3 linked regions of the Oreochromis niloticus genome follow. The protein of the gene in region 1 purifies or fractionates together with the protein of each later gene. This does not show direct contact. Links are inferred from orthologs where the notes say so. Each region holds a gene or a part of one and is shown on either strand. Other genes may lie near its edges.

Evidence for each region.
Region 2: the proteins of ago2 (region 1) and tarbp2 purify together in Homo sapiens (co-immunoprecipitation; 10 studies listed by BioGRID and IntAct, with this or other methods). This does not show direct contact. The link is inferred for Oreochromis niloticus from reciprocal best matches to the Homo sapiens genes AGO2 and TARBP2.
Region 3: the proteins of ago2 (region 1) and ddx20 purify together in Homo sapiens (affinity purification with western blotting; 3 studies listed by BioGRID). This does not show direct contact. The link is inferred for Oreochromis niloticus from reciprocal best matches to the Homo sapiens genes AGO2 and DDX20.

Annotation. Positions count from the first base shown.
Region 1 is NC_031985.2:24,709,087-24,719,713, forward strand, and holds the start of ago2 (protein argonaute-2), read left to right. Parts: upstream 1-6,339; 5' UTR 6,340-7,250; coding exon 7,251-7,269; intron 7,270-8,446; coding exon 8,447-8,494; intron 8,495-10,627. Other genes in the region: homeobox protein Dlx5a, read right to left, coding at 3,064-3,378, 3,608-3,792, 4,192-4,549.
Region 2 is NC_031970.2:5,769,751-5,780,967, forward strand, and holds tarbp2 (RISC-loading complex subunit tarbp2), read right to left. Parts: upstream 5,473-11,217; 5' UTR 5,310-5,472; coding exon 5,257-5,309; intron 3,751-5,256; coding exon 3,436-3,750; intron 3,288-3,435; coding exon 3,218-3,287; intron 3,115-3,217; coding exon 2,997-3,114; intron 2,536-2,996; coding exon 2,408-2,535; intron 2,173-2,407; coding exon 1,977-2,172; intron 1,048-1,976; coding exon 890-1,047; 3' UTR 202-889; downstream 1-201. UniProt on the Homo sapiens protein: Required for formation of the RNA induced silencing complex (RISC). Component of the RISC loading complex (RLC), also known as the micro-RNA (miRNA) loading complex (miRLC), which is composed of DICER1, AGO2 and TARBP2.
Region 3 is NC_031984.2:17,470,013-17,481,296, reverse strand, and holds the start of ddx20 (putative ATP-dependent RNA helicase DDX20), read right to left. Parts: upstream 5,079-11,284; 5' UTR 5,059-5,078; coding exon 4,863-5,058; intron 2,309-4,862; coding exon 2,214-2,308; intron 1,890-2,213; coding exon 1,721-1,889; intron 1,625-1,720; coding exon 1,510-1,624; intron 1,339-1,509; coding exon 1,196-1,338; intron 767-1,195; coding exon 628-766; intron 515-627; coding exon 456-514; intron 54-455; coding exon 1-53. Other genes in the region: parapinopsina (parapinopsin a), read left to right, coding at 6,899-7,229, 8,005-8,095, 8,179-8,416, 8,508-8,750, 8,869-9,009.

The sequences.
Region 1 (10,627 bases):
TGAAATTACAACGCTGAAAAGCTTCATGCAGCTGTCAAGTCGCGGATGTCCCACTGGCGCACATTCAGCATACCTGGGCCCCCAGGCTGGGGCCTATCTGCTCCTGGGCCATGATCGGGCTGCAGGGAGCCGAAAGCAGCAGTCGAGTAAACATCAACAGAGCTCATAAATACGCAGTGGCGCATATTCAGCACCAAAAAAAATGACGATTTTTAATGGCGGATAAAAGCTTTGATGAGTTTCAGATAGATAGATAGATAGATAGATAGATAGATAGATAGATAGACAGAGATGCAGCAGATGGGGGTGGGGAGTGAGAGATGTGTCACTTGCTCTGTGATGCTCACACTACTCACATAAAAGCTGCAAGCACTGGACAACATTTCATACAAATTGTACCACATTAAATCTCGAAAAGGCTTCCACAATCCGAGCAGTCTCTCTTTAAAAGAACACACATATATATATATATATGTGTGTGTATATATATATATATATGTATATATGTATATATATATATATAGATAGATAGATAGATAGATAGATAGATAGATAGATAGATAGATAGATAGATAGATAGATAGATAGATAGATATACATACACAAGTACATCAGATTTTAATTTCTTTGTCTAAATCTATATAATAAAGTGAAGGGTGAAGGGTGTCGTCGCACCTTATCTAAGAATGGAAGCTGTGACAGAAAATATAAGACTCATCCTTACCTTCCTCCGCTTCTCTAACATAGACTAAACCCCCCAAAAAAGCGCTGCACGGTTTTTACTGCTGGTGGTTGAATAAGCAAATCCAGGTGGGAAAGTGTTTGCACACCCCGGTAAGCTCTTATATATTGCCTGCAAAATTAGCTGTTATTACTGTCACTGTTTAGTGATGGCGAGCTTGAAAAAAAAAAAAAAAAAGCCCTCTGCAATCAAGAACCAAGCGCATCTTTGCAAATTATAGGTAATTGTCAATGTCCAGATTATGATAATGGAGGCCCTAATCCTGGAGAATAATTATTGTGGAGTGTTACAGTTGAAGCTGTCCAGTAAAGCTAACTGTCATTATTTAGACTCGATTTGCAAAACGGGGGGAAAACTAGCTGAGTGGAAAATGTTCGGTTGGGAAATAAACGGAGGCTCTCGATATAATGGCACCACAAGTGTGTGTGTGTGTGTGTGTGTGTGTGTGTGTGTGTGTGTGTGTGTGTGTGTGTGAGAGAGAGAGAGAGAGAGAGAGGTACAGTAGCTGTGTGTGTGCCTGTGTGTGTATGTGTGTGTTTGTGTGTGTAGGAGACATATAAACCCGCGTGTGCCCGTCGGTTCGCGCGCTAAAGTGTTCTTGATCACGTGCACGTGCCCTGTTAAAATTTTACATTTCTGGAGTGACACACTAGCATCGCAGTGACCGCTCTGTCGTTTCGTTCACAGCAGAAATCGTGCTTAAAGCAGCAAAGCTGCCAGTGCTTTAGATTAGGGAGAGCGTTTCCTATAGCTGCGCGTGTGTGTGCGTGTGTGTGTGTGTGTGTGTGAAGTCTATTCAGTGGGCTGCAATCAGGAAGAGGGTTCTGTGTCAGGTGGAAATGGTAACATGCATGGGTCAGTGTGTGGGTCAGATGCAGCATTGTTTAGTATATGTTGTGTGAGAGAGAGACACAGAGATAAAGTGAGAGAGAGAGGGAAGGGGAGGAATTTTGTGTGCAACATTTGTAAAAACTCACTTATGTTATCTTGGCGCATATGGCGGGGCAAATTCAATTAGATCAATTCTCTTAAGTTTGTCACAGTGGCACGGTTTGTTTAATGGATTTTTTTTTTTAACCCCCACTGGCAGAGCTGGTATTATCGCCTGCTAATGACATGTTCAAACTGTGTAGGATTTTCTTCCTTTTTCTTTTCAGTTCTTGCATTTTTTAAGCAGGAAGGTGGGCTGTGTACGGCGGCCGGGAGTGGCAGAGCTCTGGAGCCGGTCTACCCCCACAGGAATGCGGATTGTCTCAGATCTCCGTGCCGCCCCCCTCGCCTCCTCTCTTGCCATTCAAAGCGACTAATTGTAGGGGACACAAAGAAGCGAGACCGGCTGCAGACCGTCTGCAGGAAGAAGCGGGCATTTCCCTTACAGACTAGCTTAAAGACTCAATCAGGTGCAATAAGAATAAGAATAAAAATACGAAGAAGAATACGGGGACTGACTGAAAAATATGAATTATTACTGTATCATGAGCAAATCCTATCATGTTACCATTTGTCTGATAAAATTAAAAATGGCATTAAGAAGATAAGCTACTGTCGACTTACAATAATAGATGCAATATTATAGAACAAATACATCCAGCTCGATTCAGTAAAATGTGATTGGTGTGGTCGGCTGACGCTTACCATTGCCTGTACCTTTGCTTTTACAGGTATTTATCTTGACAAATGCTTGCTTGATGTAAGCTCAGTCAGAAATTTGCCCTTTAATTTTTCTGATTTTGCATTCATCGCAAATGTAGAATATATTGCCTTCATTCAAATATGTTGGTTTTTTAATTGTAATTTCTTAGAAAAAAATAGACTAAATTTTGTCTGCAAAAATCTTTTTCAGACAAATACCAGTTTTTAGTAAATATAAAACATTTAAAAAAATACGCCGCACACCTAGGCCGTAATTGCACATGAAAACCATTAAGATTTGATGCTGATCGTTCAGCTCAACATACCTCGCAGCCGTGATTTACAACCTTGTGGAAGCAAACAACAAAAAATGTCACCCGAGGCTGTCTGCGAGCCTTTGTCGTGATTTTCAGAGCAAATAACTAAGGGTTTAAAATAACAAGAGACTGCAGGGAGGCAGGGGGGTGGGGTTCAAAGTTCCATTGTCCATTTAAACGTTTAATAGTCTTCCAAAATGCAATAAATTACATGCACACATTTACACATTTTACACGTTTCTTCTATGACTGTCATCAAATACATTGCATATTCCTCTGAAATTTGAACACGAGTCCCATAGAAGGAGGGGGAAATGAAATCAACAATAGGTTTGTTTTGTTTAGTGTAGTTTTCTTTTTCTTTTCTTTTTTTCAATATAACGTCCCCGCTCCAAGAGCCAACGAATGCTGTATTGAGTTAGGGGTCTGCAGGTGGGAAGTCATGGAGCTGCCGGCTGAGGTGTACCATGACCCCGTGTTTTCCAAAAAGTTAGAAGCCGTCGTGTTGATGCTTTGTGGCTGTAGACTGTGCGGCCTGGAGGGACCCTGTGTGTCCCATACGGCCGGGGATTGTGGAGAGTTGCAGGCCATGGGGTCGCTGGAGCTGGGGCTGTGTTCCGGGGGAAGCTCGCCGTTTTTCATGATCTTCTTCATCTTTGATCTTCTGTTTTGGAACCAAATTTTCACCTGCAAGGAGCCCAAAAATCGCATTATTATTATGATTACTTCCGAAATCATCTCAAAAACAAATGGAGCTTAAAGAACGCTCGTTGCGTAAAAACGCACAAACAAAGCCAGAAAACATCGCAAATCATTATTTTATTCTCAACATTTGAAACACTTAAAACAAGATACTTTATTCCAAAGTGAAAGTGATTTGAGAGATCTGAGATGTATTTTTAATCGAAAATCCCACCTGTGTTTGCGTTAGCCCCAGCGAGGCGGCCAGCTCGGCTCTCTCCGGCAGCGCCAGGTACTGTGTGTTCTGAAACCGCCTCTGCAGGGCGGCCAGCTGGAAGCTGGAGTAGATTGTCCGGGGTTTTCTCACTTTCTTCGGCTTGCCATTCACCATCCTCACCTCAGGCTCGCTTATCTCTTTTTCTATTAAAAAACAAAAAGAAAACCGAGTATAAACATGTATCCTTTTCCCCCAAAACCGCATTATCCGAATGTATCTATTACGTGTGTGTCATCGTTCAGATGTATTAAAATAAGAGTAATAACAAAAAAGACATCAATTTTTATGAACCAGATGCATTTCGGTCCAACTAAAAGGAAAGTAAGTGGTTCCTTTAAATGAACTTAAATGAAATAATGTGAAGCATGCATTTGCATTTATTCCTTTAATTACGCATTTATAGACCTTTCGTGCAAATCAGCAGATGACGAAATGGTAAACCTGGATAAAAATTTTTTAAAAGACCCAACCATATATTTATGTTTTCTTCATAACCCTCTAACAATCTGCTTCTATTAAAATATAAAATGTTAGGCCCGTACCTTGTGGACTCGGCTGGGCTTGCACTCTGCTGTAAGTCCCAGCATACTGGTGGTAGGAGGGGGTCGTGTAGGAGCTGTAATCTGTGTAGGATTTTGTCGAGTAATTTCCAGCAGATCCGTTTACACCCGGGTACTGGTACTGATAGGCATTCAGAGGCTTCCCGTAAGAGGTGGAGCTGGGCGAGCAATAGCCGTGAGCGACTCCTCCAGCGGGACTGTAGTAGCCAGAATCCGTGGCGGAGGATTCGGGTAAAGTAGGAGATTCCTGAGACGGATGGTGCATGCTGGAGAGTTGAAAGGAGCTCTCAAAGTCTGCAGGTTTCACACTCGGGATCCTCCGGTCAAAAACTCCGGTCATACTTCGAGAGGGAGCGCGTGGGTTCGTTTTATTTAATCAGCAGAAAAAAAACAAAACAAAACACGAAAGAAAAAAATCAATAATAAAAACCGAGAGCGTCTGTCTCCAGAGCGGTGTGGAAAAAAAAAACTACACTGGCATTGTTGAAAGGCTCTCAGGCCGTCGGGCTCTGGTGAAGACTGCAGCCAGCCCCGCAGCAAAGACTTGGTTAAATCCTAAATCGCGCTCTTACGCACTGCAGGGAGGATCTGGTTCCATTGGCCAAGGCGCACACAGACACAGCTACACCCAATTCACTCCGCCAGCTTTCTTATAAGGGGGGAAGCCACCCGGGCTGCATGTTGGCTGCATTGTTGTGTTTTTATACTATCAATCAATGGCGGCAATTAAAGTGTCGCCAATTCATCAGAAGGATAAATTAGAAGGACAAATCCTATTACCAAAAAGGCCCGTGCTGCAAGAGCCACCGATTATCACGCTTGTCTTTATTAATCCTTATTTACGCGTTTTTATCAGAACAGAATTTACTAGCTGCTCTAGTCACGCATGGAAACATGGAATAAAATTTAATAATCTAATAATAAAACAAAATCGTAAAGACATGAAACTGAGCAGCTTAAACCATTGAGCTCGGGTTTTTTATACATACATATATAAATATATTCTCATTTTCATTTTAAGAGGCACATTGCCTAACCCCCATGGAAATTAAAAAAAAAAAAAAAAAAGCTTTTCTTGCATCAAATGAATGATCCCCAAAATTCTGTACATCATCGGCAAATCAAACACGGTCTGTCTGTGCTGTTTACACGGCTCGGCATCAATAAACGGCTCATTAAATATTAATCCATGTTATTCCCTTCTGAAGCATGCTGCCGAGCACACAGACCAGAGCTCCGGCCATCAACCCACACATTCAGTGGTAAACAGCGCCGACAAGAGGACAAAGCGAGGGGCTGCACGTCGTTCACTTTGGCAAACCCACAACAAAACATAAAATAAATTCACTCAAATTTGACACAACCCAGACGCCCAGGGTTAAAAATATACGCATTAGATTAAATTAACGGGGAATTTGAATCACGTGACACTGGTAACAGCGTAATCTGATAAAACAGCCTGCAACTGTTTCAAAGTTTTGGAATAATACATGGGCGTTTCAGCAGGTGCTGCTTACTGGATGCACACATGCGGAAACATTCTGCATGTTTCATAACTCAAATCTGCAATTCATACAATAAATAATTCTACTTTAAACGGGATCAGCTACGCGAAACCAGGCTCACGGTTAAAGAGACGTGTGCTCAATGTACATTATGGCTATATCTGTGTTCCATCTGGCTTTATCCACCCATTCAAATATTCTGTAAACAACCCAGAAAATCAGCCTCTGTATTCGTATATCTGCTTATAGATCTTGTATCGGTTTAACTTCCACTGAAATATGAACAAATAGCTGGAAAATTTGGAATCTGGATGAGCAAATAATAAATAAACAAATAAAAACATTCAATAGAAACAACCTACCTGTGTGTATCTTCTTCAGCTTTTGTTACTATAGACAATAATTCACTTCTTGAACGTGTACATCTAATTTTATTTCATTCATTCCCCTTAATTAAACTTTAAGTAATTTTTAGCATAAGTAAAATTCAACGTATAATATAAAATCACATGGCTTGATAAATCTTCTGTATGTACTGTCGTTATATTATAATGAACTATAACGTTGGAAGTTTTTGTGGATCCATTACTATGCACTAGCTATAGGTATTATAAAAAAAAACTTTGGTACCCCGGAAATGCTTCCTCCGCCGAAGAAACAAACTACTTGGTATATTACTTTGCTTGTTGACATTTTTAAAAACCCACATTCGTGGCCATATACATATATATGTACGTATTTAAACCAGACCTGTATTTTAGCCAGGTTATAAAAAGTCGGGTTGTTTTTTAAGCCAGGTAAGCGATCTCTGGTGTTTTTTTAAAGATTTGAATTAGCATCACTACTGAGACCGCGCAGCGTGCGTCTGACATCACCGAAAAGCAAGATAGTTCCCCACTTCACATCAATCTAAACGTTAATATTTCCCCTTAAGTCGAAATTACCGTATTTGAAATGTTTGCAACCGTGTAAAATGCTAACTTTGGCTAATAAAATACTAAATCTGATAGGAAACGTGATTTGTCTAAATTGTGTTGTATTATGTGTATGTATGTGTTATATAGTATGTGTTATATTTATTTAAAAAAAGAATCACATTTCGTGGACTGATACGGATACTAGCTTTTTGTCTACATTCATGACTACACTGATGGGATGAATACATATGTCTTGTAAAAAAGAAGGGTAATTAAAAAAAGAAGTCCAAATGTAAATATATACACTACCGAAAGTAAAGTGACCAAAGGCGGAAGGAATGGGAAAGAATCATCTTGAAGCGCGTGGTTCTTTACCCTGCGCTCTCTTTTCTCTCGGCTCCCGTTTTGCGTGTTGGGGGGATGGGGCCGAGCCGAGGATGAGAGACTTCAAATATTTACCACTTGGCTAACTAAATATCTCTTTTTAGAACCGAGTTTCCTTCCTTGCACTTGGACATATAAATACACTTCGACTACGGATGAGTTTTGGTGGAATTCTGCGAAAAACTAAGCGGAGTGTTTGTGCGTCCACGACACACGCTTAAAAAAAGTCGACAAAATGTATTCCTCTGCTGGAGGTAAGTGCTGCGGCTAACGTTAGCATGGGCTACGTGATGCGGCCAAAGAAAACTGACGATAACGAAGCGGCATTTTTCTGTGCTGCATCGATGAAGTGCTTGCTCTGTTCCCGTTTCATCCAACTCGTTACAGTAAAACTCAACAACGGCTTTGACGAGGAACATGTCGTCCCAGTTTTAAGTGTATTAGTACTAGAGGCAAGCTTAGCTAGCGTGCAACAACAAGCTGCCGCTAGCCACGCTAGCTTCAACGGCACCTGGTTTCCCGAACTTGTTTTAGTTAACTCACTGCACTTTCACCAAGTGGGGGTTGGCTGGCATATATTTTCTTAACAAATCACACGAACGTAAACGCATATCATTCATTTTTCTCGAACTGAAGCACTAAACACACTAGTTGAAGCAATATTTCGAGGCCGACCTAATCTCATCACCAGTCTGGGATACGATTAGCCTGACAGTTGAAATCGCCACATTTACATATGTCACATTAATACACCAGCGGTATAAACGCGCTAACGCCACCGGATCGTCTTTTCAGTGTAACACCGGGTTTAAGACACTAAATGATACAGGAGAAGTCTGCTTGATTAAGTTTGACGTTAGGTAGAGATAGTTAAGCGACTGAGCCGCCTGTCGTTAGTCAGACAGACGCTGTGTTTGTGTGTGTGTAGATTTGCATATCGTTGTATTTCATGTGTGCGTTTCTGTTTTTTGTCAGCTGGCTTTTTTAGGCTGAATGAAAGAGAGTACAGGCGACATCAGCACTATGTTGGACAATTTTTTTTCCCCCACTTGCAGTTATTTTAACGAGGATGTGTTGTTCAACCAAAACACGACTCGGTGTGTTGAAGCAGTCTATTTCTAGGGGGAAGGGGTGGCTTCATCAGTTAGATTGCCAGCTGCTCAATACTTTCTGCGTGTCTATTGATAAGACTCCTGTGGAAGTGATAAGAAAGGCCTGCTGGGATGAAGCTAATGTAATAAATGAGCAGCGCTCTCTTACTGCTTACTACATAAACAAATGGTTTTGTTATGTTAAGCAGTAATCTTTGGTCTCTGGGCTGTACTATGTTATTAGGTGTACACATTTATTACTCTTTATTTTGAAATACAGTGTGTATCAGACTGAGCGGATCTTTGAGCATTTATAACATGTTATTTTTGTTCTCTGTAGCTGCTGAGATGCTTGAGGGACCCGGTTCTACTGGGTCAGTAAGCTCTGGTAAGCTTTTCCCATATTCGGGCTTTAACACTTTAAATTGACCCTAGTAGTGGTCCAGTGTAAGTGGCAACATTTTTTTTTCTCACACATCCTTCAAGCATCACAGTATGTACTCATCTGAAAAACAACAGGACCTTCTGATAGTGAAACCATCCAGCAAAAAGCATATAGGTATTTTGATCCTGTGAGAGTCTACAGAAGATGCTTTGCTCTTCAACTAGTCAGCACTAGTACACCTCATTTTGTGCACTTATGTGCAAAGCACTTAACTAAAGGGCACTTATTAAAATCCACCATATATTGCTAGGCTTTATCAAAGGTTTTCTGTTTGAATGAACAGCGCTGGAGCTAAAAGATAATGCACTGAAGGGAATGGAGTGTGTCCTGACTGAAATATCTGAAGCTGCAGATATGGCTGAGCTTGTCCAGCAATAATGAGAGCTGTGTGCATCTCCTACAATAAAGTGCAAAAATGTTAACACTTAAAATCATCTTTCAGGTTATAATATAGTGATTTGGTGTAGATTTGGTACATGTGTTGTTGTTGTTGTTGTTAATGTTAATATAAATAATAATGATAATAATAATAATAATTCAACTATTGTACCAAAATAATTACAAATGTGAGATTTAAATAAGTTTTTCTTGTATATTATTATTGGTGTGGCTACATAGTGTAGTGGTTTACTCATTTGAAAAAAACCCTTTGGGGATGGGTCAGGAAGGGTATCCAGTGTAAAGTAATAAAAAAACCCCCCCATAATTAAAAAAAAAAAAGAAGTGCCAAATCAAACATGTTAAGCTGCCTGCTGTGGTGACTTGTTGTGAATAAGGGTACAGGTGAAAAGTAGCTGTATTATTTATTATTTTTGTTCCAACAAAGAAATCAGAAAATATGCAGAAACATTTTTTCTTAATTTGTTTAAAAAAACTAAATATTAAATTCCCCATAAGTCTTACTGCAGATAAGTTAAAAAAGTCAAACTATGAATGAGAAAAATAACCTGAGTATTTTAATTAAGTTTGAGAAAGAAATTATACAAAATAAGTTGCCTTTTTGTCTTTTTTTCTTTGTAATTTCAGTTACATTGGAAAAATGTAATTGAAGTTCTCTGAAGAATTTATTCAGTGGTGTATTTATACTCTGTATGAGCTCTACAGCCACAAGTGTGCGGTCTGTTGACTAAAACCTGTTCAAAATGACGGCTGCAGCTTGTGCTTTTTCATTTTTCTAGGACAGCCTGAACACATTTGTGAAAAGTCACCCATTATCACCGTTTTAGACGGATGTCAGCCTGTTAGCAGATGAGATACAAATTTACAGTGGCTGATTTTGTGCTCGCTAAATGTTTAAAGCAGAGCCCAACAGATTTCTCAGCCAGTTTTAGCTATTTGCTGACCTTTCAGTATCAGCAATTATAAAATCAGATAAGTTCCAGAACAGGCGAGAGAAACACCCTTTCAAACACGTTCTGAATGTTGATGGTGTATAGCTTGTCCACTAGTGGGCACTCTGCAGCTTCCCTGCAACAGTGTTTGGGTCACCACAAATGAAAGGAGGAGCGGATCTGAGCAGAGTCAGGCAAAGCATAAACTATCAAATAAATAAATATACATACAAATGTTTTGTGTGTTTGAAAGAAGGAAAATATCAGTCAGATATTTGAGTTTTAAATCCCTGAATATTGGCTTGAGTGTTCAAAATCCTACACGAGTCAGGTTCTAGGTCAAAGATGGTGTGATGAAGAGTTAGCGGATGTCAGAAAAATTTATAATTTTGAATTTTGTTTTACTTCTCTGAAACACTGAATGCTGCAGCTGCTAATAATAGCAAAAGCATCAGATATCACCCAGATCCCCTCCACTGTCCCCCCATCCTCAGCCAGTATTCACAAACATACAGTTTTGTAAACATAAATTTTTTTCTGTGCGTTTTGGACTTTCGTCCACATGTAAACGTTGTTTTAGATCACCCAAAGCAGCCTTTGCTGCTTCCAGTGGTGAAGATTGACAGATACTGTGCTTCTGTGTTTGCGTGGTGACGAGGAAAACTGACATTTTGTCTTACATTCTCAAAGGTGCGCACCTCGGTTTTGTTTTTTGACATCAGACTGTGAAGTGTGTTATTGTATG
Region 2 (11,217 bases), on another chromosome or scaffold:
AACAATTTTCAACTCCCTAATTTAACACCAAAGTTACCTTAAAAAAGCCCACAAAATTAAAAACATTATCGTAAAGACACTGGGATTTCAGATACCACTGTATCAGTTCAACTGACCAATCAGAACAGAGGGGTGGGGGGTCTATTGTAAAGGCCGCACAATAATAGAAGTGGACTGTTTCAGAGAGAGGGTGACAAAAGGTGTAGCCACAAATAATGTGTTTATTAAACATTAAATCATATAAACCTACTCTAACAGACCCAAACAAAGAACAAGCATGTAAATGAGCACAACAGGGGGACTATTTTCATACTAAAACCAACATTTTTCAACACTTGTGTGTAAAATGGTCAATCTTCAAGATGATTGTCCTATGACAATAACTCAGCAGTCTCTTTTTCTTAATTTGTCTTCAAGTCTGGGCTCTTTTTAGGTCCGTGCATGAAAACCGGGATTTAACAAAGCAGCAGTGAACGGATGACTCCACTCCATTTTCTTCAGACCCCTTTCACGCCCTGGTCATTTCATGGCATCAGAATTTTATCTCGAGTTATTTGCAACGTTGAGTTTACCACGATAGCACCATTTATAAATTCAGATGAAAACAAATAGGGTGATATAAAAAAAGTAAAAATACATAATTAGTGATAAATATTGTAAATGTCAAGTGATTTTTTGGGGGGCAACTAAATCTTCATTGGCATCATCAATAGGACTTTTAAAAAAATCTTGGGGCATAAAGAGTCTTCATTTCTAAATTTGAGGTAATTCATGTTATTTGAGTTCATCACAAAAGTGCCTCCGTCATCCAAAGTAGAAATTTATGATGGCATTTTGTAGTGGTGAGTTCAAGTCTGTGAGGGAGGGGGAGGGGGGGCTGACACGCTCGTCATTTCCCTCCTGCCATGATTTTGAGGTACTGCAGTGCATTGTGGGCTGCGTTGGCTCGGGCACCGTCTGTGTTTGGGGCGAAGCCGTGACACACGGTGATTGGCTGCGTGGAGAGCTCCACTAGACACTGACACAGGCCGCTGAGACTGCGCTCCTCTGAGAACAGAAGGAACAAAATACAAAATCACGAGAGCTTCATTTTTATTATAAAATAGATATTTACGAGATTACTGCTACTTTTTAAATAATATCATAACATATGTATGGTGTACTTCAGGATGAAAGATTTGACAGCTAACATTGTTATTAATACTGTACATCTGATTCAATGTACCGTTATTTTATATAGGCACATTAATAATATGATCAAAACTACTGTAACTAAAACATGTATTAGAATATAGTTTCACTCTGTCCTCTGCAACTATTAGAATATAGTAATAACTAGCCTCATCTACTGCATATATTAAGAAAAACTAACACTTTTGTCACGATTTCATAGATCATATAGTTTGTAGAGGACAAAATAACGGCCGTGACAGGTTTTAATACTACAAAAAAAGAAAAAAAAAGAATGTGTGCTAATTACACAAATAAATCGAGCAGAGATAACAAACAATAATAATTCGAATCATAAATGTAAAGCTGCTGCGTTAAACTCTGTTGTTTTGGTGAAGAGCTGTCCACATTAAAAAAATGGTTCTACATAAAACCAAGATAACAAGCAGCTGCAGGCTACTTCCTCAATATCTGGTGACAGTAATAACGACCACAACACAGCTTGCCTTTTGTTTCTTGGCATGACATCAAAATCTACCCTTTATCCTCTGCAAATAGTGTGTGCAGATGGTGCAAACCAGATGTGAAAGCAGTAAGAGGCTTTCACAACCTAACAAGTTTGATCTTAAGCAGCACAGTGAAAGCTCCACTGAATTACCATATTTAACAGATACTAACAAAAATGCAGCTCTTCCTGTCATCAGGCCCATCAGCAGTGGCTCTTTACGCTTTGAATACCATCCTCCTTTTAATGAGAATGCAAGAACGCAAGAGAGAAGTGTGACAGGTACGCTCTGTGAACTCACCTAGGTCCAGGTAGCTGACATCAAAGCGCTGCTCCAGAGACAGTTCACTGAGCAAAGAGCAGAAGTTGGAATCAGAGGGCATGCCCAGAGGGTGGCTGCGGAGTTGGAGGATCTTCTCACCGGCAGAGTTGCGCAGAGAATCCCACGTGCAGCTGAAGCCTTTACTTTTACCCGACTCCGCTCTGCTGCCCATGTTCTGTGCATGCAGGAATTAATGGACAATGTCATTATGTGCCATAACCCAGAGATAGAAGAGTAACAACAGGGCATATGAATCAGAGATTATGCTAAATTAATAATGCTTCAGAAAAAACAGAAAAATAAAATTTAAAAAAATATTTTGTTACTACGTAGAAGTGAAGTAAACTCTAATTCCTCTAATGATGCTTAATAAACATTTGTCAGTTAGTGTAGCAGTGTTTGATTCCCACCATAGTAAATGTATCATCTTCTGCATCAGCATCATTGCTGGTCCTCATATCTACGGGGACATCATGTATGCGTGACAACATCTTAGCTGCTGCGTTTCTCTTGGCTAGCTTCTTAGATGTACCGCTTCCTGGTGAGGAAGAGGAGATTGCATCAGAAACCAAAGGATGTGCTTGATATCTCTGAAGTTTTTCATGCTTTAAGAGAGTAAGTCAAGGAAAGTCACAAACTGGTTGACCAGTGTGAAAGGCGTAACAATAGATATATGATTTTGCTCAGTTTTATTAAGCTGTTTTCTATCAAAAATATTTAATTAGTGAACACACACCACCCACACACAAAATTGTGTTTTTCATGTCTTTGTGGGGACATCTAATTGACATCATGCTTTTCCTAGCAGCTTACCTTAACCATTAAAAATGAATGCCTAACCCCAACTAACCAAACTGTAACCCTGACACTAAAACCACATTTTGAGTCTCAAAAATGCCCGCAAACTCGTGGATCAGGCATTTTGTCCCCACAAAGATATGTAAACATGGTACACACACACGCGCACGCAGGCTGAGAGATTGAAACAAAGCCACGTACCGATTTCTACAAATCTCTCCACTCTGCAGGTCATGGTGAACTCTTTGCGATGTGCTGGACCAGACTCTTGAGTGACTGTGTACTCTGGCAAACGCCATCCTTTCTGCACCACCAGCTCCTGGCAGAACAAAGTAAAAAAGAAACCAAAAGTTGGAAAATTTATAAGCCGCAGAAATAATGACAGCAAAATGAAACCTTGGTAGCTGTCTGCGTTTATTTACCTGCAGAGCCCCTACAGGGTTGCATTCAGACTGCTGTGAAGTGCCTGTGGTCTTCATCTCTGACTGGGCACTACACAGATGTTGAGAAAAAAACAAAAAGGTAACAATGAAACCACACAAACCTCTATCTTACTTTTGTTAAGTGTTGAAATGCTCTTCTTAACATTCAGGCTGGCCTGCTTATTGGATGTTTAAAAAAATTAAACAGAAAAACTGACCCATCTGCATCAGTAGACACATCAACCCCAATAAACCCGTCTACTCCAATACCAACTCCGGCAGGACCTCCGAGGCCTCCCTTTAGCATCTTCAGAGCAGCCTCAGCTGCTTTGTGCTTGGCTGCCTTCTTGCTGGGCCCCTGGCCGGTGCAGCTGATCTCTCCGACGGAGACGCGGAACGTGAAGTTGGGCTGGTGGGCCTGTCCCTCGGCCTTCAGCAGGTCATACACTGGGGTCTTGCCTATCCGCGTTCCATACTCCTGCAGCAGACTGATGGGCGTCTTTCCGGGATTCACAGCCAGCATTTGCTCAATACTACATAAGAGAAAAACCTCGCATGAGACAAACTCTTCAGAAACACCTTTTCATACAAACAAGAAAAATAATTGTATATAGGGTTTAGTATATTGTGTGTAACTTCATAGTTTTACTTTGTTATCTATTATTTATTTTCATTTTCATACCTATATTTATTTTAGTTTTTATTCACTCAAAAATTAAAACAAAAACTATTAGGAGAGTAAAAATCTCACTAAATATTACGGGGAACTATGTTTTTGATACTTTTTCTATATATTTTGAATTCTCTGTCTTCAAAAGTAAAACAAAACACAGGTTCAAACAGAACTTGGACATATTAGAGTTACAGAAACAATTACAGTTACATATATCCATGCTTATATTCACCAATTAAATGAGACTTTAATTCACCTGAAAGTTGACAAAAATGTCAAATAATGTAGACAGAAGAGTAGAATAAAAAACTAAGTAAAAAGAAGAAAAATGCAATGTTTTCAAAGTCTGATCTGTATAAAAATAAATGGCTGCAAAAATGGTCATAAAACATCTGTGTAAAGTTGTGCTTCATTCTCACTGGAGAAACCAAACAGCCACTTCATAAATGGCACAACACAGAAGAGCCACCTCGACAGGACAAGACTCGGCTGCACGTCTGCATCTAAAGGTCAAAGGTCAGTCTTTCAAGGATGTCAATATTCACATTTTGGACAAAAGAAGACAGACGGTTTGAAAGAGGAGTGAACGAAGCCATCTATGTCCACTGTGAAGCATCATCTTTGAACTCTCTGCCACCTATAGTGTAGTTTCCCATGTAACTCACATGATAGGGTGAAGCAAGGTCTCACAATGGGTTCACAAGAAACCTCTGCTGATAATGACCCACACCCTTTTTCACACCTTGGCCCATGTGATGAGCCACATGATCAACAGTTGCTTACAATCTGGGACTTTCCAGCATTTGGTCATAGAACTGACGTAGCTTCTCGGATGAGAGGTAAAACATGTGCTTTAATAATGAAGGGTATCCTTCAGTGTTACTACTAGATAAGCTCTATGGAGCTCAGGTCCTCAGACATGGATAGACTTAGACAAAAAACAACAACAACAACAACAAAAAAACTTTCTTTAGTGGAGATCTGAATTTCGTGTTTAATGCACGTGCTGTAGATCAATACAGCCATCACTGATCTAATTATAGATTAATAGTCACTTTTCTATCGGAAAGGGGAAGCTTACAAAGTTTTCAGTGTGAGTGTAGCTACTTTATTATCGAAGAGTCTGAATACAGTGTGGAAACGGAGTAAAAGAGCATGGATGTCACCAAAGTCTGCAGACGACCCGATGCCGTCATTCTGGCGTCACAGTTTTGCAACGTGCAGCTGTCAGGAAAAAAAAAATGCTAGCAGTTCGTGTTTACAGCTCTGTTTCTGAAACGCTACTAAAAGCCAGCCTTCTCATCTTGTTTGTTACTGGAGGAGGAGTGTGGTGGACTGACCGGGGGAGCTGTTAGCTTAGCTTTACCTGGAGCACCCGGAGTTTCTCTTCCAGCTGTCCGATGCTGTCTCGTCGTTCATTCCCTATTTCACGCAGACAGAGCCGGTCGGTTTCGGATGGCAGTTCCCCCCCACCAAAACAGACACTTGCTTTCATCAGACGCTGTTTATTGTTTCCCCTTACAGATGATGAGGCGACGGCATAAAGCGAAGCCCCCCCGTCACTGCCGCCCCGACAGACTACAACAGCGGAATCCTCTGGCGCGAGGATATGACGTCAGCGGCTCACTGCGAAACCTCTGTTTTTTTTTAGCACGTTCAACGCTGAGATTTCACGAAACATCTCTTTCTATGGATGGTACAGACAGAAGTATACAACAGGCGTCAATCCAGGTATTTATGCACATCAGAGAGGTCAAAAAGTCAGACATTCTTCTTTCGGCTGTTCCCTGTAGGGGGCGCCAAACAAACCATCTGCTGTAGCATCGGCTGTGTCCCAATTCAGGGTATGCACGCTTGAAGTACGCGCACTACGCGTACTACGTACGGTGCGTACTACAAGTACGGGAAGTGCGGAAGTGAGAGGCTTGTGAAATGGGACGATCTAGCCTTCGTCGTGCTGTTCAGGTTGCCTAGCAACCATGATACTAACCGCGAGAAATGTTTCATACAGCTTTGTGTGACAGAAATGAAGGAGAAAAAATGTTTTGTTGTTCATTCATTTTTGTCATGACATCACTTTGATTAGTTGAGCCCACAGGACTGTAAAACATGATAGTTGGGCTTCATTTCTGTACTGAACAGTCATTTCAAGATTAGTTAGTAAATAATAATTAGCTAATGTTATTCATGAGACTAAAGTCATCTCACTGTGGTGATGTTAATATAATATGGACAATATTATATGTATTGTATATATATATATATATATATATATATATATATATATATATATATATATATGATCTTGAACTCTGGGTCAAAGATGCAAGTAGCAGTTATTTATATTTCCTATCACCTTAAATCTTCACTCAAAGACAAGTATCTCTGACAGTGTATATACAGATGTATTATATATAAGAGACAAACATTGTTCTTTCAATATGTTGGCATTACTAAATTTGGCTCAATGCTTATATATATATATGTGTAAAAAGCAAATGTACGAGCTGTGATAACCGTTTCTGATAGAATGAAGATCAGACTGATATATGAAATATTCCTTTATTGGGTGAGAAAATCAGACCGTGTCATAACTGCGTTAACTCATACAGAATAGATATCAGAGCCTTAAACAGGCTGACTTCTGCTAAATGGGTCAAACTGGGCAGAAAGTCTACAAACACATAACATCCTTATAGAATATGATGTAACACTATGGATCAACTTACCTCAGAATATATAAAGCATATAAACAATTACAGCAATATGATGCAACAAACACAGCAGCACTACTGATCCAAAATACTCAAAGCTTCATAGAACTGAAACAAACATTTATTTTTAGCTCCGTTCTGCTGCTGATACATACTTTAGGTTTCTGAATATTAAACTTGTTGCTGCCTTTCATACTGTGTAACTTGAAGGCTCTGAGTACTTTCTCTCACACTGAAAACACTGGAATGATAACATTATTTGAACATTACCTAATAAGACTGATTCAGGACAGACAATTAGTTATGTTAAACTTTCCTAGCAGTCCTTCACAAACAGGGAACAGTCTGTCTATTCTCTCCATCTGTCAGCTGCTGCTGGCTCTTCCTCCTCCTCTTCCTCACACACTGCTGAGTTTGTCCTGGTGGATCATCAGGGGTGCAAAGCCTCACAGATGATGTGCAGCAGTGGGTCCCTCAGTCTGTCCTCACTCTGGACACTTGCAGTTGTCACACATGGAAATCAAATGTGTGATAAGCTGCAGGATTCAAACACAAGTGTAACTTATAAATACATGTTCATACTTTTATTCCACAATCAGAGAGAAAGAAACAGAGAGAGAGAGTGCAGGACAGACAGACAGGTGACAGTCTCAGGTGTACACACTGCTACAAAACAGCACAAGAGAAGGAGGATTTAGTGTTTGTGTTATTACGAGTGCTAAACAAGAAGAGTTCCCAGATGGTCCAGTGGACACATGTGTGACTCCTGTGATTAAAGCATCTTTCTTTCAGCTTAACGAGTGAACCGTCAGCTCGTTCAAACACACGTTAAAGTCCGTTTGGCTCGACACCACCGAACAGAGGCAGCAATATAACATAGCTAACATTAACAGTGCAGTGAATCCTGCTTGTGCCGTCATATTCAGGACTGCAAACCGAGCAGCATCACTGACTTTCAGCTTGTTGTGTTTGTGGATATATGACTGACTTTAATTATCCATAAAATCATCACATTCTCTGTAAGATTAAGGTCAACTATATATATATTTAGAAGTAGAGGCTTTAAAACCAAGTTTACGCTGAAAGTACAAACATCACTAATGTCACATAACTTTCCCGACATGTGGCCAACAGTAATGTTTTAATGTTCTTAAACATTCGCACATAAATAAGTGACATCATATTCAGTACTTACTTTTGACAGTTCACTCTTCGGCCGCTCCCTTCTGCCGTATTTTGCGGCAAAATTATCCACACCCACCGCCGCGCTATGGATTGTGGGATATATGGGGCCAGGAAGCGTGCACCGGACCACGCTTGATATTTGGGGAAATCGACGGCGCATTTGGAGTATGCATTTGAAGTACACTTTGAATTGGGACAGCCGTCGTCGCGTGGCGGTGACGTAATCGCACTTGAAACGCGTACTTCAAGCGTGCAGACCCTGAATTGGGACACAGCCATCGTCTTCTGTCACACCACCCTACTACATGTCCTTTCTCGCTGCATCTATGAATCTTCTCAGTGGGCTTCATCTTTCCCCCTGCTTGGCAGCTTCATCTCCAGCTCAAATCTCAGCATCTTCAGCTCTGCCTGCTGTCTTTTGTCAGCGCCATCATCTCCAAACTGTGAACATGGTCCACATTTTTTGGTAAATGATCGCTTTCACGGTAGTGAAGTCTTAAAAGTGCAGCAGGCCACTGAGGATTTAAAAACAGATTGGTAAGAAAACAGAGAAGTCCTGCATCACGTTGAATTACATTTGTTACTTAACTTTTAAGGTATTTGTTTTAGCCTGTAAATAAAAAATCGCCTTATAGTTTATTTTTTACAGTCATTTCTACAGTTTTATATGTTTTGCATGAGGTAGCTGAACTGTGTATGATTTGGCGTTCCTAAATGTAACCAGAAGAGGGCGACAGTTAGCTATAGATTTCCCCCGCTGACAGCCCTCCCTGTCGGGTCCCTGGGATGTCCAGCACCTGTCATATCCACTACAGACCAACGTGGCAACACGAGAAATTCCTTTCGTGTAGTGGACTGACCACCCTAAAGCTGAAAATAAGTTTTTGAAATCAGATATGCCCCAAAGTGTTTATTCTGAAAACATTCAGAGTTAAACCTCTCCATGGAATAAAAAAGGTTATAAACTTTCAAAAGAAACATTTTCAGCACTTTTAATTTATTTTAAAAGATTACAATGAAAAATAATTTACCCAAGTAAATGTTTTTACAATGATATTACAGTCAGGCAGCTCTATTAATTTGGGATCTTTTTCCCTGCTTGGTTTGGAAAGATGTGTCTTCATAAATAGCCAAAGGAACCGTGCAGACCCCAGAAATCATCTGAACCCACAACGTCAGAGTCTCCTTTCCAAATTATGTAGCAGCGCTTTCGTAAAATGTTTTATTTTATTAGCATTTTCCACCTTTCCATGAATTATCTTTAATTCCGGGGATCAACAATTAATCCCATGATGGTGTGCTTGCAAAGCCCTGCTGGCCACTGTCGAACCAGAGCTCTGAAAACTTCGTCCACTGGCATCAGCGTGTCAGTGTGGATAAGCCCGCTTTGCCAAACGCAACACAAAGTGAACTGGCCATGACAATGAGTAGAGCTGCCTCCCATTTGAACTCCTAAACCTACAATCCGAGCAGCGTGATTTATCACTGACCTGAGTATCTGTGACCGGAGTGCACCCCTCCTCCTCATTACTCATACTTACAGTGTTAATTTGTCTTATTCTCTGAGACTTTATTTATCAGCTGAAGGCTCCAATTTATTGACCTATAATGTGATAATGTAAGCGTTTTTATTGAGCTTGTGGTTAAATCCTTGACTGAATGAGATCAGCGATGAATGCCATCTCTTAGCAGTTACAGTATACTTCATCCAAATTGTATGCGCACATCCACAAACACACTTTCCTTTTCCCTGCCTTGGCCTGGTGCATTAGTATGTGTGGTTCTTTGCTTGCCAAAATCATCAGTAGATATCTTGAAGCCCCGAGCTGCTCTTTTTCCCTCCTTCCACAATATGATGTGTTTCCTTTTTTGTGTGTGTTTTGATCCTTCTCTTGCGGCCAGGCTGTGCTGTGGTGAGGCGCGGGTTCGAGTGGCGCTCCTGTGTTATTTTTGGCAGCAGCAGTGGTTGGTGGCTGTTGAGGAGAGAGGAGACAGAAGGGGGATAGCATGAAGACCAAAACCAAGGCTGTTTAAGGGATTTCTGTCTGAAGGAATTGCTTTGTAATGATCGCACACTCATTATGGATGTGCGTGCGTGCATACATTCACTCACGCACACAGAAAAAAAAAGCTGGCATGCACATTTGTTCATTTAACACTTCTCAAACACCTCGTATACATGCTCTCATTCATGGACCACACACTCAGAGTGGCTAAATTGCCCAACCTGTGATTTTTTTTTTCTTTTTCACTGAATCTACACGATCCACAAGCTGTCGTTTGAATATATCAGCACAGTCACACATTCGGCTTTGGTTAATTTTCTGTGTTTCTGTCATACTGGGAGTATCTTTTGCTGTGAATGTTCTCTCTTTCTCTGAGGGAACCAGACTGAGACATGCTCAGGCAACACGCAGTGTCAGACATTCACGCTCCTCCCTCCGCGCTTCTGAAAACACCATTTGAAAAAGATTTTCTCCGACTCCGCTCTTGGCCACAGATCAAGAGAACGTTATTACTCGACTTTATTTATTTATATATTGTGGTGGTAATGTGTGTGAATGTATGCGCGCTTGTATGTATGTGTGAGTGAGTGATATGTAATTGTGTATGTATGTGTGTTAACCCGCAAAGATATTTCAATTTCTTCAGAATATTAAATAAACATGCAGCAGCAGCAGCAGCTTCAGTGAAGCGCTGCCTGCCAGTGGGTTTTGGGTTGGATGGGTGGCGGTGGTGGTGGTGGTGAAGGGGAGAGGGGGTTTGTGGCCGTGGCTCTGGGGGGGTGAGGCAGCTCATGGTCAGGGCCCCCGCCGGACACACTGGCGCCTCGCGCTGGAGGACTTCTGAACCACCACACTCCTCCACCAAACCCTGCCAACCCTGGCTCCCAGCTCCCACTTCCAACCCAAATCGCTCAGTTCTCCTTCTGCATTTTGACTCTCTGTCTCTCTCTCTCTTCTCCCTCCTTCCTCCCTGACTGTTTTTTCCTTCTTCAGTTTCCTCATTCTGTTGATTCGCATCCAGATTCATTTACTATTGGACTCCGTTCTTTTTCTCACTTACTGCTGTTCTTTCAGTGGCGGTTCTCCCCGACTCTGTTTTCTCTACCTTTTCTCCTGAGAGCTGTGGGTTTTTACACCTCCGCCACCCCTTCTCTGCACTGTCTCTCTTAAATCCCTTCACTTTAAATGTTCCAAGGAAGTATTTAGTGGCTTGAACTTAAAAAAAAGTAAACAAGGATGGTTTGGGCTCTGTGTCAGTCAGAATACCGTCAAGATAGTAAGCATTTTCAAAAGGAAAGAACACTTTAATGGTGCTCTAGATATTTGTAACGGTATTAGGTTATAATGGGCCATCAATTTTCTGAGTGGTTTTCCAACCAGCTCCAAGAGATATAGGCCTGCTTGTCTTGAAAGAAAGAAACT
Region 3 (11,284 bases), on another chromosome or scaffold:
GTAATGCTTCAGTTTTGACATTGCCTCCAGCCTCTGGTCCTGACTCAGACCACCTGCAGAGGCCAGACACGACACCTCATTAAATCTGATAACGTCAACTGAAAGTCGCTGGCATGGAAGCATTAAAAATACACACATTCACAACACTGTATGAAGGTCATTTTAAATATGTGCACTATTGAAATGCAAAATGTTGCCAGGCAACACTGCAAATCATAAACCACCTGGCCAAAGAAATAGTCACACGTACAAGATATTCAAGAAACAAATGAATGAATTTCAATCTCTAAAATTCAAAAGCAGCTGGTGTACCAGTATAGAAATGCCTCAAATTTAAAATGAAAGAACATTAACAAATCAACAATTCAAATAGAAATCAATTACCAGAGTTTTCAGTTTTACCATTTTTATTGACCCATCCTAACATTACTATACATCACATAAAGCAGTCTTACCAGAGATGCAAACAGCAGGCAGACCTTTGGAGGACAGGATGTCTGCCAGGTGCTGAGCCCTGTGGTAGCAATTCATCGCATTAGAATTTCAGAAAGCTTTTATGCATTCTATATAAAACAAGTGTAAAAAAATTACTTTTTCTTGGTAATAAATACAATCAGCATCACATACCGTGTGTGTAGGTTGGAAAACACCAGTGCTTGATTGAAGGGGATTTTACTGAACAGCTCTAGCAAGTACTGCACCTTCTCCTCAAAAACCTTGTGAGGTAACGGATGGGACTGAACCAGCTTGTAATACTGCTTCAGACCTGACAGGGGGCGACACAAGGACAACATACATGCTGTCATTAATTCAACCTGACCTAACAACTTTGGTCCTTCGAGCGGGACGTGCTCTGCCAGTGATGTGTGCGAATTAAAATTCTCGTGTTCTGACATTCACTCAAAATAAGCACAGAGCTAAAAATAGGATCCTGTGGAAGAGAAGAGTGTTTTTAAGAGTGCCTTAACTTAGCCTTGTTACTGTCAATCATATTACTCCCCCCAAGAATTTTCTGTCAGGAAATAATCCCATCAAACATGTCAGTTTTCAGACTTGGTTATCTCATCCATGTAGTCTTATTATGCAGAGTCTCTGTTGCTATGACAGCAATTTAAATACATTAAAAAAATGTCGAGAGGCCAAAACTCAGGAATCTTTCTCTTTTCTTTTTTCCACCTATTAAAGTGAGTCTTACCTTTCAGGCCCATGTCACTTGGATTTAGCCGTACAAAGGTGGGCTCTCTCATGTAGCGGGTGAGGTGCTGAGCAAGGGATTCTGGGTAGGTGGCGGAGAGTGCGAGCATCTGTTTGTTCACGGGCAGCGAGGAGAAGATCCAGCTAAAGAGGACCAGGATGATGGGTGAACTTTAGGTTAGGTTGGTTTGTAAATGTGGTTACGATATATAAACGGCTTCAGTCTAAATGTAGTGCTTGAAAAACACTCTGCTCGCTACAGCGGCCTGCTGCTCATTTAATAGGAGTGTAATCACAGAAATTGTATCCTCATACTTTATCTGTTCCTGGAAGCTGCCCTCCTCCAGCAGCTTGTCTGCCTCATCCAGAACAAACAGTCTGATGCTGGCCGTTGACAACATGCCCAACTCGATAAGCTGCTTGATGCGACCTGAGCACACAACCGGAACACTGTTACCGAACAAAAACAACAGCGGCGTGGCGATTACGTGACGTGGCACCGCCGACTACTATCCCGGCTTCCTACCAGGTGAGCCCACGGCTACATGACACTTCTTCAGGTGGGTTTTGTCCTGACTCACAGGCCTGCCGCCAATGAAAACATGGCACTCCAGGCCCTCCATGGCACAGCCTATGGCCATGACCACCGAGTGGATCTGCACCGCTATCTCACGTGTTGGAGCCAGCACAAGAACCTGCAGGAGGGAAAAGTGTCAAAAATGAAAAAAACAAAAACGCTTATACTCGATTGGGAGAAGATTAAGGATGAACAGTAAGACCCCAGAGCTAATAAGATTACATTTGTTCTACAAGACCAGGTGTAGCTCATCTTTATCAATCATTCTTCCCTTTCATTCATGCGTTTGACACTAAGCAGCTTAAACTCAGCAGAAGGCCATCTGCTGGTCATGAAATGATTAAATAATAAAACTTCCCCTTTCCCTCTTCTGATGATGTTTTACTTTAACCGTCCGAGTGCAAACGTAGGTCATATCCTCATAATCAAATATTATACTGACCTGGGTTGAAGGATTCTCCAGGACCAGAGAGTCCAGGGCGATGGTGCAGAACACGCATGTCTTTCCTGTCCCAGACTTGGCCTGTACAATCAAATCTAAAAGGAGAGACTCAGTGAGCGATGCACAACAGGGCTGGCAAATGACAGTTTTGGCATCAGCAGTTAATTACCATGACTGGGTGAAGTATTGCTGCCTAATCCTCAGCATCAAATCAATTGTCTCCTACCATGGTTTAAATTAACAAGTGTTTACCTCAAGTACAATGAAATTAAGCACATTCTGCATCACCGCTGCAGCCGAGAGCTTTTCCAACACACAGGCAACCTCCAGGTGGAAAGCAACTATTCTGAATTTGTACCTCGTAAAGGCAGTAAAATGTTTAAAGGCAATAAACACATTTGATCCCAAAGAGTGATTCAGAATCACGATGAACAGTTGTGATATCTATGATAGTCAAAAGAAGGACTAAAGAAGTACTTTAGTAGTACTAATGTAGTTGTTTCGAGCTTTTCAAAATAAAATACTTTTTAATATCCTTTAAAACAAAAAGATTTGTTCTCATTTGACCATGGCTTTGAGGAAAGTTTACAACAAAAGTCAGTGTACAGTCTGAGTGTAGTACAGTTACAGTAGATAGACAATAACAACAGTAACAGACTTAACTAAATGAAATTATACGATAATATAACAAAGTTCACAAAATAGAAGAAACTCTAATATATAGCTCAATTATAAATATCCAGAATATTGCACAGATGAAATATATATTATTGACATAGAAGCTGAAAACATGTAATTTGATATTGTATAAAGAAATGTTTTAAGAAACTACATTAAAATGTAATACATGATTGAATTATTCAGAGTAAAAAAATATTTGGATTACAGCTGAAGTCTCGGGGCCATATTAAGCTCTTTTCTAAACTAATAATATAGAAGATCTCTGCAGTTAGGTCCATAAAGTTTATATTCTTTTTCCCTGTGTACACATCACAGTGGATTTGATGAAGATGTGACTTTCAGCTTAATTCAAGGGGTTCAACAAAAGTATTGCATTAAGTGTTCGGGAATCAGAGGCACCATCTATCAAAGAGAGTGGAGTTAATGTTACGAACTATGACTGTGAAATCACAGGGATGCATGGCTGCCTGTGAATCTGGGCCTTGAGTGTTTATTGATGATGTGATTGCTGGTAGCAGGATGTACCTTGAAGTGTAAAGGGGAATTCAGATTCATCCAAGTGCTGCAAAACTATGCAAATGGAAAATGACTCAGAGCATCCTGCAGAAGCAACCCGAGAGTTTCAGAGGGCAAAGAAAGTGGAAATTCTTCCTGAACAGTTGATGCAACTCTTTAGGGTCTGGGGTCTTACTGTTCATACTTTTGTCAAACCTCTGAATTAAAGCTGAAAGTTTTCCCTTCAAATACATTTTGACAACTTGATTTAAAATTCACAAAAAAGCATCAGTGTCCACTTACTAACAGACCTAACTCTAACACACCCAGCTATTGTACCAACAGATTTTTAGATCAGATACACGATGCTTTGTCTCTACTGCCATGATATCACATGTAATAACCTTTTTACATTATGTTCTTTTAATAAGTCCAAATGTCAGTTTTGCACTAGTGGCCAAAAGGACAGGGAAGTATTTTTATTAATTTACCTCAGGGACAGTTATGAGTTGTCCTACATGAAGGAAAGCTAAAGTCTTTCTGAGGAGCACGTTGTAAGGAGATGCTGCTGGTAGCTCATGGGAGGAAGTCAAATTAGATAAACTACCTTTTATCTTTTAGCTCTCATGTGTTTCTATTTCCAGATAATATTACCTCCCGACAAAGGTGTTCATGTGTCTGGATAAAACGGAAATAGGCAGGCAGATTGGTGCTGTATCGAAGTAATGTGCCGACTTTACTGGACCAGTGAGATGAAGAGTTAGCTGAACCGGGAAGCAAAGATTTGGATTTACCAGTCAAGCGTGAAGCAAGTCTGGGTTCAGCGTTTCACCCAAAGACACTTCACATGTAGCCTAGAGGAGCTGGGAATCGAACCGCCAACCTCCCAGTTAGTAGATGCTCTACCTGATTAACCACAGCCACCCAAGTTTTAGGTCCATAAATTTGCCCATAAGTGTGTTTTTTGATTGCAGTAATAATAATTATAACAATAGTTTTTCATTTCATATTTATGAGGAGATGCATAAGCGGACGATAATGAATGGATAGATAGATTTGAGGCATAATATATCACATCACATTAATCATTTGCGTCTAAATATGTATGACCAATATGCTTTGCAACAAAAAATTTAAATTAAAATACTTTAAAAAGTTGTAAAAAAAAAATAACATAAAATAATGATGATGATGATGATAATAATAATAACAATAATCATTTTTAACTATAGTGCCAGTCATGTATCTGAGCAGACATGCAAAATTATATATGATGGATAGATAACAGATTCTGATCCCTGATGTATGTAATGCACTAATGTAAGTTAGTGATTTGATTTCACGTGCATACATAAGGTATTTTGTTGCTCTTTTTATAAAATCAATTATAAGTTTTATACACTGAAAACTTTATTTTTCCTACCCCCAACACACACACATGTGAACCCTCCCGCAGTTTTGTTTTGCACCCACCGAGTCCGCAGCGGCCGAGCGGGATCGCCTTGAGCTGGATCGGAGACGGCTTCTGAAATCCCGCGGCGGACAGTCCGTCCAACACGGGCTGAGACAGCAGCAAGGAACCGAAGTCGATCCCCTCCGACAGAATCACGTCTTCGGTCCGCTTTCGCGCTTCGATATCGTGAGCTGCTTTCCTGACGGAGGTAGCCATGTTTGCTGTACTGTTTACTGCCGGTGACCCGGTTAAAAAGCAGAGACACAGCTGCGCTTTAGCGCCCTCTAGCGATGCGGAGGGGAATTAATTTCTCTGCGCAATCATCTGGGTGTGATTGGTCGATTACACACTTTTTGGCAATAAATCTTATATGGTTGGAAACCCTGTTTATTTCCCCCTAAGTGGTGCTAAATTTTTAAGGAAAATGCATTTGTGGGCTGAGCAGCAGAGTTGATTATGTGGGCTGTGTCCATGAAAAACTTGCAAAATCTTCTCTCCCAATGCCAAACAAAGTATTCTGCTATTGAATCTTGTTTGGTGCAGTTTATGGGACTGTATTTTTGAAGTTTGAAGATGCATATTAGCAATTTAATGGTTTATTCATTTGGTAGCATGTGGAAGAACCATCTGGTACCTCCTCCTCATGCTGGTCACCAGCTTGGTCACGCACTGCTGTGGGATGGTATCCCATTCTTTAAGCAGCATTTGTTGCAAGTCAGCCAATGTGTCAGTGTTGGTGACTCTGGCACAAACAGCACACCCAAGCTGACACCACAAGTGTTCGATGGGGTTGATGTCAGGACTGCAGGCAGGCCATTCTATCATCCTCACTCTTCAATTCTGAAGATAGTTTCTGATAAACCTCATTCTGTGAGTTTGAGCATTATCTTCTTGGAGGATAGAGTTCGGTCTCAGACAATGGAAATAATGGATTGCCACTGGTTGGAGAATTACATGTTGAGATTTCTTTGCATTAACAGTACAGGAGTATTTATTTATGGCAATAAGTCAATAACCCAAAAGTTCTTATTGATGGCCTTTAACAGCTCAGTGCAGGAAACTGTCTTTTGATGAGGTTATTAGTTACAGCCAATGTTAGTTAGTGTCTTAACTCTTAAAAAAGAGGAATTATTCATTGAGTTTTTTCAGCATGCCAAGAAATTGCAAATGTAATCACATATAGTTTTGGGGAGCAATATATTAGTGATTAGTAAAGTGCTTATGGATGGATCCATAGATCTGTTGGGCAGAAAATGTAAATGAGATCTTCAAGGTGAATTTAATTCAACAAATCACAATGTCATTTTTTTCTGTTATTGCACCTTTTCTTTTTTAGCTTTATGGATTCATTCATTCATTCATTAGGAGTTGTGTAGGTATTAAGGATGATTATAAACAGAGACACTGACACTGAGCTCATTCTCAAATAAGCCACGAGTTAACCAGTTTGTGTCATTAAGTGACTCAATCAGGCTAACGTCTCATTAGTTTTTAATGAGAGTACATAAAAAGGCAAGGACAGGTATCCATAAATTACCAGTTTATTCCATTATTGGCTACAAAATGTGTGACAAACCAGCAGGAATTCTGTAGACATATCGGTCGATCCTGTATGAACGTTTTGCATCATTACTCACGAGCAGCTGTAAATTGAGCAATCATGGAAAGTGCAGTCTTAGAGGCTATCAGACAGAATTATTCTCTCCACAATCCGGCTCGACGGATTTTGTTTTCTGAGAATTGCAAGTCATCTACGGCCTCCTCTCCTCTTACTGGGCTTATTTAGAGGGCCTCGCTTCGCTCTCAGAATATCAAGCACGCAGTATCTGTTGAACAGTTTTGTAGTTGTTCTTATTGCTACATTATTTATCAAATGATTAAAAAAAATGCTAAACACATACCTGAACTTGCTATTTTATTTGCCTTGCTGACAATGTGGCCATTTTAGAGTTAGATGTGTGGGATCTGACACTTTTTTGTTTGTTGTTTTTTACCAGGCATCACTGAGGTTTTTCATACTGTCACCAGATTCTTCTCCTGATCTTCACAGAGCAAAATGGAGAGTGCTGCCTTCCACAGAAACTCTTCATCATCTAACAGCTCAGCCAACACGGAGCTCTTGTCCCGGACTGGTTACACAATTCTGGCCGTTATCATGGGTGTGTTCTCTGTGGCAGGGATCATCCTCAATGTCGTGGTGATTGTGGTGACGGTGAAGCACAGACAGCTAAGGCAGCCACTCAGCTATGCCCTGGTTAACCTAGCTGTTTGTGACCTGGGCTGTGCTGTGTTTGGAGGCCTGCCCACCACAGTGACCAGCGCCATGGGATACTTCAACCTGGGACGTGTGGGCTGTGTGTTAGAAGCCTTTGCTGTTTCCTTTTTCGGTGAGTCTACATTTTCTTTTTCCTCACATAAATAAAAGAAGAAATACAATAAGGTATTCTAGTACAAGTAAAAGTACCTCAAGTAAAAGCATCTGAAGAGAATTTAATTATATTATGTCAGATTTGCAAAGCTGTATCTGAATAAACAATCAAAAAAACACAAGATCTGGAACAGTGTCCTTTGGACAGATAAGACTATATTTGAGATGTCTGGATCTATTGCAGAGAGGTGAAAACCAAATACAGCACATCGGCACAAACACCTCATACCAGCTGTTAAGCACGGTGGTTCAGAGGTGATGATTTGTGTTTGTTTTGCAGCTGTATACCAAAGTATTGTTGAGACAAATGTCAGTCTGACAGTTAAAGCTTGGCCACAATGTGGTCATGCCACAGATAAATGATCCCAAGCACAGCAGCAAATCTACAACAGAATGGCTGAAAAAAGAAAAGAGTCAAGGTGCTGTTGTGACCTGGTCAAAGTCCAGACCTTGCTTAGTATTTCAAATGCACGCAGTCCTGTGGAAACTTTCATTTTCTAATGACCGCTTTTGAACTTTTTGAGCTTAAAAAAGTTACTTAAAGTGAATTATTTAAGATATTTTGAAGGAACTGTTTTTGTTTGAAGTTACATTATGTACTATAGTCCATATATTTATAGTTAATGTCATTAAAATAAGATTAGCATTTCTTCCTTGAAATGTAGCACTCAACAGTGTGCACAAATGCAACACTTAGAACGCAAAAGTCATGAATTACTTTCTCTTTATTGCAGGTATAGCGAGTCTGTGCACAGTTGCAGTCATTTCTGTTGAACGTTACGTAGTGGTGTGTTATCCCATGGGTGCGGTCCTCTTCCAGACCAGGTACAGTAGTGACCATCAAGGTCTCACTTGGGAATGTTCCTTGTTGTACCAAGCATGTCAGACACCATCTCTGTTGTCCTCAGGCATGCAGTTGCTGGAGTGGTACTGTCCTGGGTGTGGTCATTTGTGTGGAGCACTCCACCTCTGTTTGGGTGGGGAACTTTTGAGTTGGAGGGGGTCAAAACCTCCTGTGCTCCTAAATGGCATAGCCGTGATGTTGGGGACATGTCCTACATGATAATATTCTTCTTCCTTTGCTTTGCCTTGCCCTTTTCTGTCGTCATGGTTTCTTACTCGCGGCTTTTATGGACTCTCCGCCAGGTGAGCAACAAAGAGGCTGCGCACACCTTATATTTTTGTTGATTGTATTGAAAACATAATGGAGTCCTTTGCCCTTGAATGTTTTTCCTAGGTGACCAAGCTGCAGGTATCTGAAACAGGAAGCACAAGTCGTGTAGAGGTGCAGGTGGCGCGCATGGTAGTGGTGATGGTGCTGGCCTTCCTAGTCACCTGGCTGCCATATGCCGCACTTGCACTTGCTGTCATGATAGACTCCAGTCTATATGTCGACCCTGTCATCGCTACCATTCCTGTGTACTTTGCAAAAAGCAGCACTGTCTACAACCCCATCATATACATTTTCATGAACAGACAGGTAAGCTGGTTTAAAGTACACTGAAATTCACACATACAAACAAACACAAAGAGGGATTCAGGCTCATGCTGTATGTTCATGACCAACCATGATCCTGTGTTTGTGTGTGTGTTTCCAGTTTCGAGGCTACACTGTTGCTGCGGTTCTGTGTGGATGGAACCCCTGGTCCTCCGAGCCGCAAACATCTGAGAACGAGACCACTGTTGCGTCTGTAATCAAGACCCCCAAGAAAATTGTGCCTAAAAAATCTTTGGAATAGAAATGTGTAGAAATTATTATTATTATCACTCCAGAGGCGCATCCTGATTATCAGAACAAAGTCAAGACAACTTCTGCAATGTACTGCAAGATGGTTTTCACAAACGTAAACAAAATATCAGAGAGTAAAAATGATGCAATGAGGAAGAAGGTTGCACAAATCTATGTATTAAGGCATAAAACATAACAGTAATAAAAGCAGCAGTAATAAAAAAAAAAAAGATTTCCCTGTTCAGGCAGGCTTCTTTTCCTTTTATGTATTCAGACAACAACACAACATCTTTCTTGTCCTCTGTCATTGATATTGTAGATGGTGTCATTGCTTTTTATCTCTTTTAAAGAATAAAAATACAGTTACATTAATCAAGAACTATTGAGACTGCACAACTCACAGTTTGTTTGCAGACATTATTTAAAAGATAAAACCTCACATATGTGAGCAAAATAGCCTCTGTTTACTTCAGTCTGTCAGTCAGGAGCTGAATTATCTCACCTGGCTGAAACACTGGCACACTTTTTAGGTACGCCTCTTTTGCTTTCAGATCTGGTTTGATTTTTTTGTGGCATAGATTCAGCATAGAGGAAACATTTCTCAGAGATTTTGGTCCATATTGAAATGACAATATCACACAGTTACTGCAGATTTGACAGCTGTACATCCATAATGTGAATCTCCCATTATCTCTCATCTCAGTTTCTCTGTTAGATTGAAACCGTCTGAGTACAGTGAACTTGTCATGTTCAAGAAACCAGTTTAATATGATCTGAGCTTTGTGACATGGTGTCAGCAGTCATCAGAAGATGAACACACTCAGGCCCCAAATGTGCCAAGAAAATATCCCCCTCGCAGTTACACTGCCACTATACACATCAGCTGTTGATACAAGGCAGGATGAATCAAGGTTTACATGTTGTTTCTGACCCTGACACCTGAATCCTGCAGCAGAAATCGAGACTCATCAAACCAGACCAAGTTTTTCCAGTCTTTATTTGTCCACTTTTGGTGGTCTTCTGCTGCTGTAGCCAATCTGCTTCAACGTTCAATGTGGTTTGTGCATTCAGAGACGCTCTTCAGCATGCCTTGGTATCTGAGGTACTGTTGCTTGTTCTTAGCTGACAGAACAATCAGTTATTTAAGTTACTGTTGCCAGTTTGAAGCGGCCTGTCCATTCTCCTCCTACATCTGGCATCAACAAGGTATTTTCTCCCAGAGAACTGCTGCTCACTCTCTTTATTTGGACCACTCTCTGTCGACCCTAGAGATGGTTATGTGCAAAAATATCAGCAGCTTCTGAATTACTCAGACTAGCCCATCTGGCGCTTCATGCTACAATCAACAGGTCGTCTTGATCATGTCTACGTGAATAATTGCATTGAGACGCCGCTATGTGATTGGCTGATTAGATAGCTGCACTAACTAGCAGTTAAATAGGTGTACCTAACAAAGTGGACCTTAATTTTCACAATGAAGAAATGTAGGCAGAAGCTAAACTAGAAATTTATGTTTTGCAGCAAACTGCTAAAACCCTGTGATAGTAATAGTAAAGAACACTTGATAGTAACGTATATTCAAAAGATTTAACACAAGAAAAAAGTAATTACATGATTTTTAATTTTTTATTAGGTGTACACATCCTCTTTGCTTCTTAAGGTCTGTCCTTCTATATAACCTTTATGGCTTTCATTGATTGAAAAACATAAAATAAAATCAATCAAAATAATCAGTGTCTTATACTCATTTTGCAACATGATACTTCATTTCAGCCTTTTGGATCCAGCATGTAAAACAGAAAACAACTAAACCTGTGATAAGTTATGTCACAGTTTGATCATTCACAGTCTCTCACGCCTTCCTAAATAAACACAAATGCAATCATACCCATCCTAGTACCATGGCTTTTTATTGATTACAGAAATATTGCTACGACTGAAGAAAAGCCAAAAAAAAAGCCAGAATGTTAATAGCTGTATCAAACCTGTACACTTTTGTATATACAGAGTGGGGGACCATCTATGTACATGCTACATACTGTCACACTCTGGGAAAATAAGTAGTCCTTCTGACAGTTACTGACATGTGATCATTTTCTGAATCAGTTTTATAAAAAATTAAGAAAGATGCAGAAATGACCCTGTCAGTGCCCGAGGTACAGGAAAATCCAAACTAAAATCACAGGCCATCTCACAGATACAGTACATGTTAACATGTCAGCAGATTTTGGTGTGTGAAACAGTTGTGTGCTTGAACACCTGGTGCTTGGAGGACTTACTTTGGT